Sus scrofa: one gene and its partner. The protein of the gene in region 2 binds, or shares a complex with, the protein of the main gene of each other region. Links are inferred from orthologs where the notes say so. Each region holds a gene or a part of one and is shown on either strand. Other genes may lie near its edges.

Region 1 (3,499 bases), on a different chromosome or scaffold from region 2:
TGCACTTCACTCCCAAGGACTGGAGCAAGAGGGGAAAGTGGTGACCAGGCACTGCCCATTAGCAGTGCCGGCAAAGCCAGCAGAACTGGGGCTGACAGCCTATCCCGCCCCCACTGGGGTCTCCAAGAGGCACAGCAAGGGGAGACAGGGCTGAGGACAGCTCCACAGGGAGAGGACAGGCCTGGTAAAGGCCAGCTGGTGCCTAGCACCAAGGAGAGCTCAGGGCTCAGGTCAACTCCAAGGTCAGCTGGCTGCAGGCCCAGGCCTGCTGTGAACCAGGGACCAGAGGGAGCCAGGCAGCTGTGTACAGTGAGATAGGGGGTGGGGTGCTCTGTACAGGGGGCTGGTGGCTGTACAATTTTCTTTTGTAAAGTAGGAATGGGGGGGAGGTACTGGCTGCAAAATTCTGGCCTCTTTTGCCCCACTGCCCCCTGGCAATAAACTGTTTCTATGGGCCAGAGCCATGAAAGGTTCTTGTGGGAGAAGACAGCACTGGCACACTCACAGGTTCTGTGAAGAGCGCCTTTATTGGGGTGACGAAGGCTCCCAAAGTGAAGGGGTTCACTGGAGTGAAGGGATCAGTGGCTTTCAGTTTCAAGGTCTGGTTTTCAGTCCTCTGGTACCTGGGCGTGAATCTGCAACAGGAGGAAATCATCCCTACTATCGGATTGCTGCAGTATAGTGACTAGCTGGCCCAGATACTCAGGGCAGAGATCCAACTGCTCAGAATCATAGACAGGACAGGGAAGAGTGGTGGGAGGCCATGCTGCCCCAGTGTTTTCCCCAGCCCCAAAGCCCCAAGTCCACTCAAGGGCAAGATTCAGCAAACAACTCTGAAGGGGAGCCTGGGAGGGAAGGGCCCATCCATCCACTCACCGCTGCAGCAAGGCTGGGCCAGGTTAGGGCCCCACGCACTTTGGAATCCGGACCAGGGATAGTCTCCAGGCCCCACAGGGTGAAGCTGCTGAAACTGGCTGTGGCGCCGATAAAGCGGTCCTGGGGAAGGGTCCCAGCTCAGCACCCGAGCCGCCGCTCCCGCCTGCACTCCCTTCCAACCCTATACCCCGGTGCTCACGAAGTCCCGCTCCAGCGTCTCCGGGGATTCCATCACTTCGTGGTCCTCCTCCGACCCCTCCGAGAAGTCCTGCTTCCCCACCGACACCTCTCCCTGCTCTTCTGTCATCACGTATCCCACAAGGCCGGGCGGCACCGCCACCTCCTCGCCGCGCAGACTGCGGCCCCGGAAGGACGCTTCCAGCCCTGGAAGAGGCAGGCGCAGGGCCACAGTGACGCCTGATGCAAGGCCTAGCGGGGCAAGCCCGGGAGCAGCCGTCCCCGCCACCTCCGGTGGACCACGAGCCCCGGGAGCCCTCGCGCCGCTCCTTGCCGAGGAGAGCCCGACGCCGGCGCGGGGGCTGCCGGGAGCCGTAGTCCCGCCGCGAGCGCTCACCGTAGGGACCCTGGCGGATGGCTGGGGTGAAGAAGCGCCCCACCGGGGCGGGCCGGCTAACCGGGACCTCGCAGGGCAGAAGGTGCAGCGTGACGGGGGCGGGACTGCGCAGCGTAAAAGGGCGCAGGTGCACGCGGCGCCTGTGCACCGACTCCTCGTCGCTGCTCTCCATGGCTCGGCCGCACCCCGCCGCTCGCTGGCTAAGGCCGAAGCTGGCGCGTGAAGCGCGCAGAGCCTGTCGGGAGGCCCGGGACTCTCAGCCCAGAGCTTCCTGGGAAGCGTAGTCCCTCTTTGAGGCTTCTGCAATCTTGTCCACCGGTGTTCAGGTCCTAGATTTTTTTTCTTTTTAAGGATTCAATGAATTTTATTATAATTGTAGTTGTGCGACCATCATAACCTAATTTTAGAACATTTGCATCCCAAACCCAGATTCCATCCCAACCTGAGGCCTTTGGTAACCGTAAGTTTTTCAAAGTCTGTGAATCAGTTATTAAGTTCATTGTACCCCTTTTTTAGATTCCACGTATAAGTGATAGTATATGATGTTAGTGTCTCACTGTCTAACTTCTCTTAGCATGGTAATTTCTAGGTCCATCCAAGTTGCTGGAAATGCCATTATTTTCATTCCTTTTTGTGGCTAATATTCCATTGTGTATATGTACCACATCTTTATCCACTCCTTCGTTGATGGATCTTTAAGCTGCTTCTGTGTCTTGGATATTGTCTGTAGTGCTGCAATGAACATTGTGTTACATGTATCTTTTCAAGTATGGTTTTCTCTGGATAGATGCCCAAGAGTGGGATTGCTGGATCATAGCCAAATGCTCCTTGGGCTCCTCCTCCCAATGCCAGATCCCCAGGTGTTGGGAACCTGATGTAGGGCTCAGAACTCTTACTCCCGTGGGTGAGCCTCTGCAATATGGTTACTTTCCCGTCTGTGGGCCGCTCACCCAATGGGTATGAGGTTTATATTGAGTAATCGCCCTTCCTAATATCTTGATGTGGCCTCCTCTTTGTCTTTTGGGGTAGGATATCTTTTTTGGTAGTTTCCAGTCTATTTTGTTGAAGGTTGTTCAGCAGTTGGTGGTAATTTTGTTGTTTTCATGAGAGAAGGTGAGTTCCAGTCCTTCTGCTCTGCTATCTTGCCATCTTAATCTTGTCTCTCCCTAGATTTTTTTTTTTTTTTTTTTTTTTTTTTTTTGCTTTTTAGGGCCACACCTGTGGCATATGGAGGTTCCCAGGCTAGGGGTCGAATTGGAGCTGCAGCTGCCAGCTTAAGCCACAGCCACGGCAACATGGGATCTGAGCAACATCTGTGACCTACACGACAGCTCAAGGCAATGCGCCAGATCCTTAACCCACTGAACGAGGCCAGGGATTGAACCCAGATCCTCATGGAACCTAGTTGGGTTCGTTAGCCACTGAGCCACGAAGGGAACTCCTCCCTGGAAAGAATTCTTAATGTGTTCCATTCAGCTACGAAAAGTCAAAAAGTAACAGCCGACACGTGTCCAATAAGTGCTAAGGACTTCCTGCAGGCAGCCCAAAGGGAATGGAGCCTCAGGGTGGAATTAGTGCCCTTAGAAGAAGTGAGCTCTGGAATTCTCTCTGTGGTTCAATAGGATTGGTAGCGTCTCTGCAGTGCCAGGATGCAGGTTCAATCCACGCCAGGTGCAGTGGGTTCTAGATTTTTTCCTTGAGTTTTCCCCCCAATGGTATATTCTTAGTGTAAAAAATTAAAACAAAAAACTTTAAAAGATTAAAACGATTCCTTGAGTTCCTGTTGTGGTGCAGTGGTTAATGAATCCGACTAGAAACCATGAGGTTTCGGGTTCGATTCCTGGCCTCGCTCTGTGGGTCAAGGATCCGGCGTTGCCCTGAGCTATGGTGTAGGTCACAGATGTGGCTCAGATCCTGCGTTGCTGTGGCGTAGACCAGTGGCTACGGCTCCGATTAGACCCCCTAGCCTGGGAACCTCCATATGCCCCGGGAGTGGCCCTAGAAAAGGCAAAAAGCCAAAAAAAAAAAGATTAAAATGATTCCTAAGAG
Region 2 (4,580 bases):
GATATAACACAGCCCCATGACAGGGTAGAGTCTCCTCCTCTCAAATGTACAACTTACTGGGGCCAAATTCCCACCTGCTGGAAAGAACAACAAATATGTGTGTGGAGATGGGCCTCGTACCCTGTGCCGACATGCACTGCCCTGCCATTGGTAATTCTGGTCCACCATAAAGACAGCGAAGCCTGAGACTGGCCGTTCCTAGCTCCCAAGGGCTGGTGCTACTGCAGTGGTTCCTAGGGGTGTCCTCCGACCAGCAGCATCAGCATCACTGGGGAACTTGCTAGAAACGTACATTCTCAGCCCCCACTCCAGATGTACAAAATCAGACACTTTGGGGATGGTACCCAGCTCCCCAGTGACTGATGCCCTCATGTTTGAGAAGCACAGTGGCACAGCAGTTACTTATCAAACACCAGTGTTTGTACCCCCACAGCCTGCAGGTGGCAGTAAAGGCCAGCTAGAGGAATTACAGGCACTAGAAGCTCAAGTTCTGTCTCCAAACCGCCTGCCTAACCACATACACTGTGCTTTTTAACAGTTCCTTAACAGCTGGCTCAGCCTCCTCCAAAAAGTTCAGAGGCCACAGTACGGGCTCAGCTCTGAACAGGAACTGGACTGAAACTCCTCTTGCCACCAGCCAGTAGACGTATTAAACCTACAACTTCCAGAGATGCAATCAATAATTACCTTAAAGGTTTTTACGTTTAATGTGATGAGGACACAAACATACTTTAAGAATGAAAATGTCAGTACTCATGTGGAATCTGAAAAAAGGACACAATGAACTTCTTTGCACAACAGATACTGATGCACAGACTTTGAAAAACTTATGGTTTCCAAAGGAGACAGGTCAGGGGTCGGCGGATGCGCTGGGGTTGTGGGATGGAAATCCTATAAAATTGGATTGTGACGGTCATTGCACAACTACAAGTGTAATAAACTCATTGAGTAATAATAAATAAATAAATAAATAAACCTGAAAAAAAAAAAACCCAGAATGAAAATGTCCGTACTGACTAAACAGAACAAGATAAGCAACTCGAATTATTCTCAGTCATTACGTGCATCTGAAGAAAAATAACCCACTTGATTCTTAATGAGTCCCATCATTAAAATCTCATTGAACTAATGTGACAACAGTGAGAATTTTTCTACGGTAAAGCATGTATCGGGTAGCCCTTTGCTGGATTCTGTGAAGACCTGAACTTTGCATGAACTTTTCCTCTACAAACTATAAATCTCCATTGAGGATGTGCAGCAACCGGCCAGTGAGAGTGGAAATCGGTGCTACCACTTTGGAAAACCGCTGAGCAGCATCTACCAAAGCTGAACATACAGTATCCAGGACTAGCAATTCCACTCCTAAGTCTACACTGCTGAGAAAGCCTCCTAAAAAGAGTGTTCTTAGAAGTGTAACTCATAATGGTTACAAACAGGAAATAATTTAAATATCCATTCACAGAAGTCGAGATAAATATTAAGAACATACATATGATAAAGACACATAGGAAGCAACAAACCAGACTACTGCTACACAGAATATGGATGAAACTTACAGATGTAACGCTGAGTGAGAGAGGCCTGGCACCAAGGAACACACACTTACCCCAACAAGCAGAAGGAACCTCTGGTGACAGAGGTCAGCAGCGGGGTTACTGGGGCTATCCAGCAACAGGTAAGAGAAGCCTACTGGAAAAGTTCTAGGTCTTGACATGAGGAATGCTTACAGGGGTACAGATATATGAAAAGTTCATTGAGTTGCACCTGCTTAAACTTGTATATGTTACTATATGCATACTTCTTTACAAATGGAGAAAAAGTAAAACACAAAAAATATCGACAGATTGTCATGTAACAATTTTCAATATCCACCATAAAAATCTAGATTAATGGCCATCTATATTGTTATCAGAGTATCATTTACTTGAAAAATACCATATTTGCCGAATAAAGTCTCCAAGTTAGATACTGAAAACAATGGGTTTTCCTTATATCCAATGTTATGTCATCAAATCAATCTATCATCCCATGAAAGGGCCAAACCTTTCTGACCTGCACTCCCTGGTCCCAACTCCATTTATTCTGACACTTCATGCCAATCATGGCTGGCAACTGATGTCCATCATCCGAAGCCTCTGCGGTCCCTGAATCATCACCCCGGGGAGGCTGAAAAGGCAGGTTCCACCACTCCCATCATTAGCTACCTGCCTGAATCTCTTTGAATCACCCTTGTCCTAACCCCTGCCACACAGCTTCCCTCCTGCCTCACCAACCAAGGCCTGTCCCAGGGAAGGGATGGGGTTAAGACACCACAGCCTCCAGGCCGATGCGGGTCTACTGGATCCTCGGTTCCGATCTAGTAGGTCCCAGATGCCTGGCCGGCTGTCGAGTGGCGAGGGGTATCAAATTACATCCCAGGAGCGGACAACTGCGGAACCTGCGCCGCTCTCCGCTGGCCTGGGCCGCAGTCTCCAGCCCACCTGATCTACAAAGAACCCCAAGGGGGAAAATCCGCTCGGTCGGTTTTTGCGCTTCCAGCTCGGGTTTTGAAACGCACAGATACAGAACTTGAAACCGAAATGAAGAACCACGTGTTCCGAGAGACACTCGAGTCCCGCGCGCGCGGCCGAGGGGCGCGCAGGGCCTGCGCGGGGTGTACCTCGGCTGCGCGCGGACAGGGGGGCCCGCCGGGGTGCGCGCGCCGGGGCCGCCGCTGAGAACCCGCCTGGGCGCCGCCCCCGCGGACGCTCGGCGCGCGCTCCCGCGCGGCGGTTGGGGGACAAGGGGCCGGGCCGAGCGCGCCGCTGCCCCGGGGCGGTCGTGTTTACCTGGGACCAGGAACACGTGCTGCCGGCCGCAAGCCCCGTCTCTGCGGTCCATGCTGCCCGCCGTGCCCGCCGAGCGCTCCGGGTGGCCGCAGGCCTCTGCACGCGGAGCGCGGGCCCGGCCAGAGCCCCGCGGCAAATGGCGGGAGAAGGGACTTTACCGAGGAGCGCAGCGTGCAGAGGGCGGGCCCGGAGGGCGGCCCGCGGGGAGAACCTCGGGCTTTCTTTTCGTTTCGTTTCCGGAGCCCGCCAGTGGCTTAGGTTAAGTGTTTAAATTGAGCGCCAGGCCCAGGCCGGCGGAAAGGGTCGCGGCCCCTCCGCCCCGCGGCGCGGCCAATGGGAGGTGCTCACCCGCGGCGCCCAGTGACGCGACGCGCTGGGCGGCGACCCAGGGCGGCGGCGGCGGCGGCGGCGGCGGCGGCGGCGGGCGGATCGCTTCAGCCCGGGGCGCCGGGTCTCTGCTTGCAGCGGCCCAGGGTCTTCCCAGTGGGGGAGTGGGGACCCCAAGGCTGGTGGACTCGCACACACCTGGCAGAAGGGAAAGCCTGGAGCGAATCCACGTCCAAATCCTAATGCTACTCTGGTCATCGTACCTTGATTATTATTTGCATCCTGCGTTGGAAGTAATGCCCGAATCTAGTGTGCTGTGTGCTTCGTGACACAGGTAAAGCAGTCCTCAACTTGGGGTTAGTCCTTGTCACTACGAAGAGGTGCACAATTTGAGGCTCAAAATATGCATTTGCTTTGAAAGACAATTTGCAATGAGTTAATCAAGACATTTTAAAAGCGTTATTTAAAAAGTTAGAGTCATGAAATTTGAAGATTTAAACTTTTAAAATAAAATTTTAATTGTACACGGTTTTAGAAAAGGTGGTAATAAACATCTGTCTCATACTTTAAAGAAAAGTATGACTCCCTGCTAATAACCCAGATCTCCAGCCCTCTTCCCCAGGGGCAATTACTGTTAAGTCTGTCTATTCTAACAGGATCTTGCCATTCACAAGTTCATGTCTCTCTTTTTTCTTTTTTTGCACAAATGGTATTTGGGGTATATTTATTTTTCTTCAAAAGATATTCAAAAACAGAAACATTTCCCTTTATAATGTTAATTAAAATGCAAAAGATATATGTATGTGTATATATATGTCTATACACGTATAGACATATATATACTCCTACATACACATATATATCTGAATATGCATGCATTATGAGTATACATAACTTTAATGCACTTAGGTTTTTTGGTTTAAATCTTGAAGATAGTTAAATTCAGCAGCACTAGATCTATCTCAGCCTTCTGAAGGGTTTTTTTAATTTCAATCCCATTTCCCATGAGGGGGGAGAAATGCAGCTAAGTAAGTTGACTGCAGGCCACACCTGGCAGAGAGGACCGTTGAGGAGGGAGACCCAGATGCCAGCCCCGGGGCAGGCAACAGGTCGGTATTATTGCTCTAGAGCTGTTTTTGTCGTTCTCTGATCTTTTCCAGCCACCGGCTGTTTTCATGTGTGTTTTCATGTGGTTGTTTTCACAGTGCAGAAACAATTTTGCCTGCTTCTCTCCCTTAACGTTGCTGTAAACAAGTTTCCCATGTCATGCAGAACTATGACTGGAGACGTGCTGTTTCACACTGCTCATGTGCCAAGGTTACGTGACCATGCCCTCGTGTGCAATACTAAGTTTATTTCAAACCGTTACTCTAAAAGATGCTGCAGTGTATACTCTACATGGACTATGCAGCAGTCAGAAACAAT

What was found.
Region 1: the proteins of RNASEH2B (region 2) and RNASEH2C are in contact, whole or in part, in a crystal structure (PDB 3PUF), measured with the Homo sapiens proteins. The link is inferred for Sus scrofa from reciprocal best matches to the Homo sapiens genes RNASEH2B and RNASEH2C. Residues at the interface, in NP_078846.2 of Homo sapiens: Arg14, Gln15, His16, Val17, Phe18, Leu19, Val20, Ser21, Glu22, Leu24, Leu35, Met36, Phe37, Val38, Lys39, Leu52, Glu62, Lys64, Phe66, Glu68, His70, His71, Ser72, Trp73, Phe74, Ile75, Asn76, Gln77, Ser78, Val79; in NP_115569.2 of Homo sapiens: Ile9, His12, Arg13, Val14, His15, Leu16, Ser18, Ala27, Thr28, Leu29, His30, Leu31, Leu32, Pro33, Cys34, Glu35, Val36, Ala37, Val38, Asp39, Gly40, Pro41, Ala42, Pro43, Val44, Gly45, Phe48, Phe63, Val75, Pro77.

What each region holds. Positions count from the first base shown.
Region 1 is NC_010444.4:6,561,291-6,564,789, reverse strand, and holds RNASEH2C (ribonuclease H2 subunit C), read right to left. Parts: upstream 1,698-3,499; 5' UTR 1,623-1,697; coding exon 1,451-1,622; exon of another isoform or gene 1,261-1,450; coding exon 1,076-1,260; exon of another isoform or gene 997-1,075; coding exon 877-996; exon of another isoform or gene 636-876; coding exon 609-635; 3' UTR 509-608; downstream 1-508. Other genes in the region: histone acetyltransferase KAT5, read left to right, coding at 1-44.
Region 2 is NC_010453.5:16,908,787-16,913,366, forward strand, and holds the start of RNASEH2B (ribonuclease H2 subunit B), read right to left. Parts: upstream 3,021-4,580; 5' UTR 2,881-3,020; coding exon 2,829-2,880; intron 1-2,828. UniProt on the Homo sapiens protein: Non catalytic subunit of RNase H2, an endonuclease that specifically degrades the RNA of RNA:DNA hybrids. Participates in DNA replication, possibly by mediating the removal of lagging-strand Okazaki fragment RNA primers during DNA replication.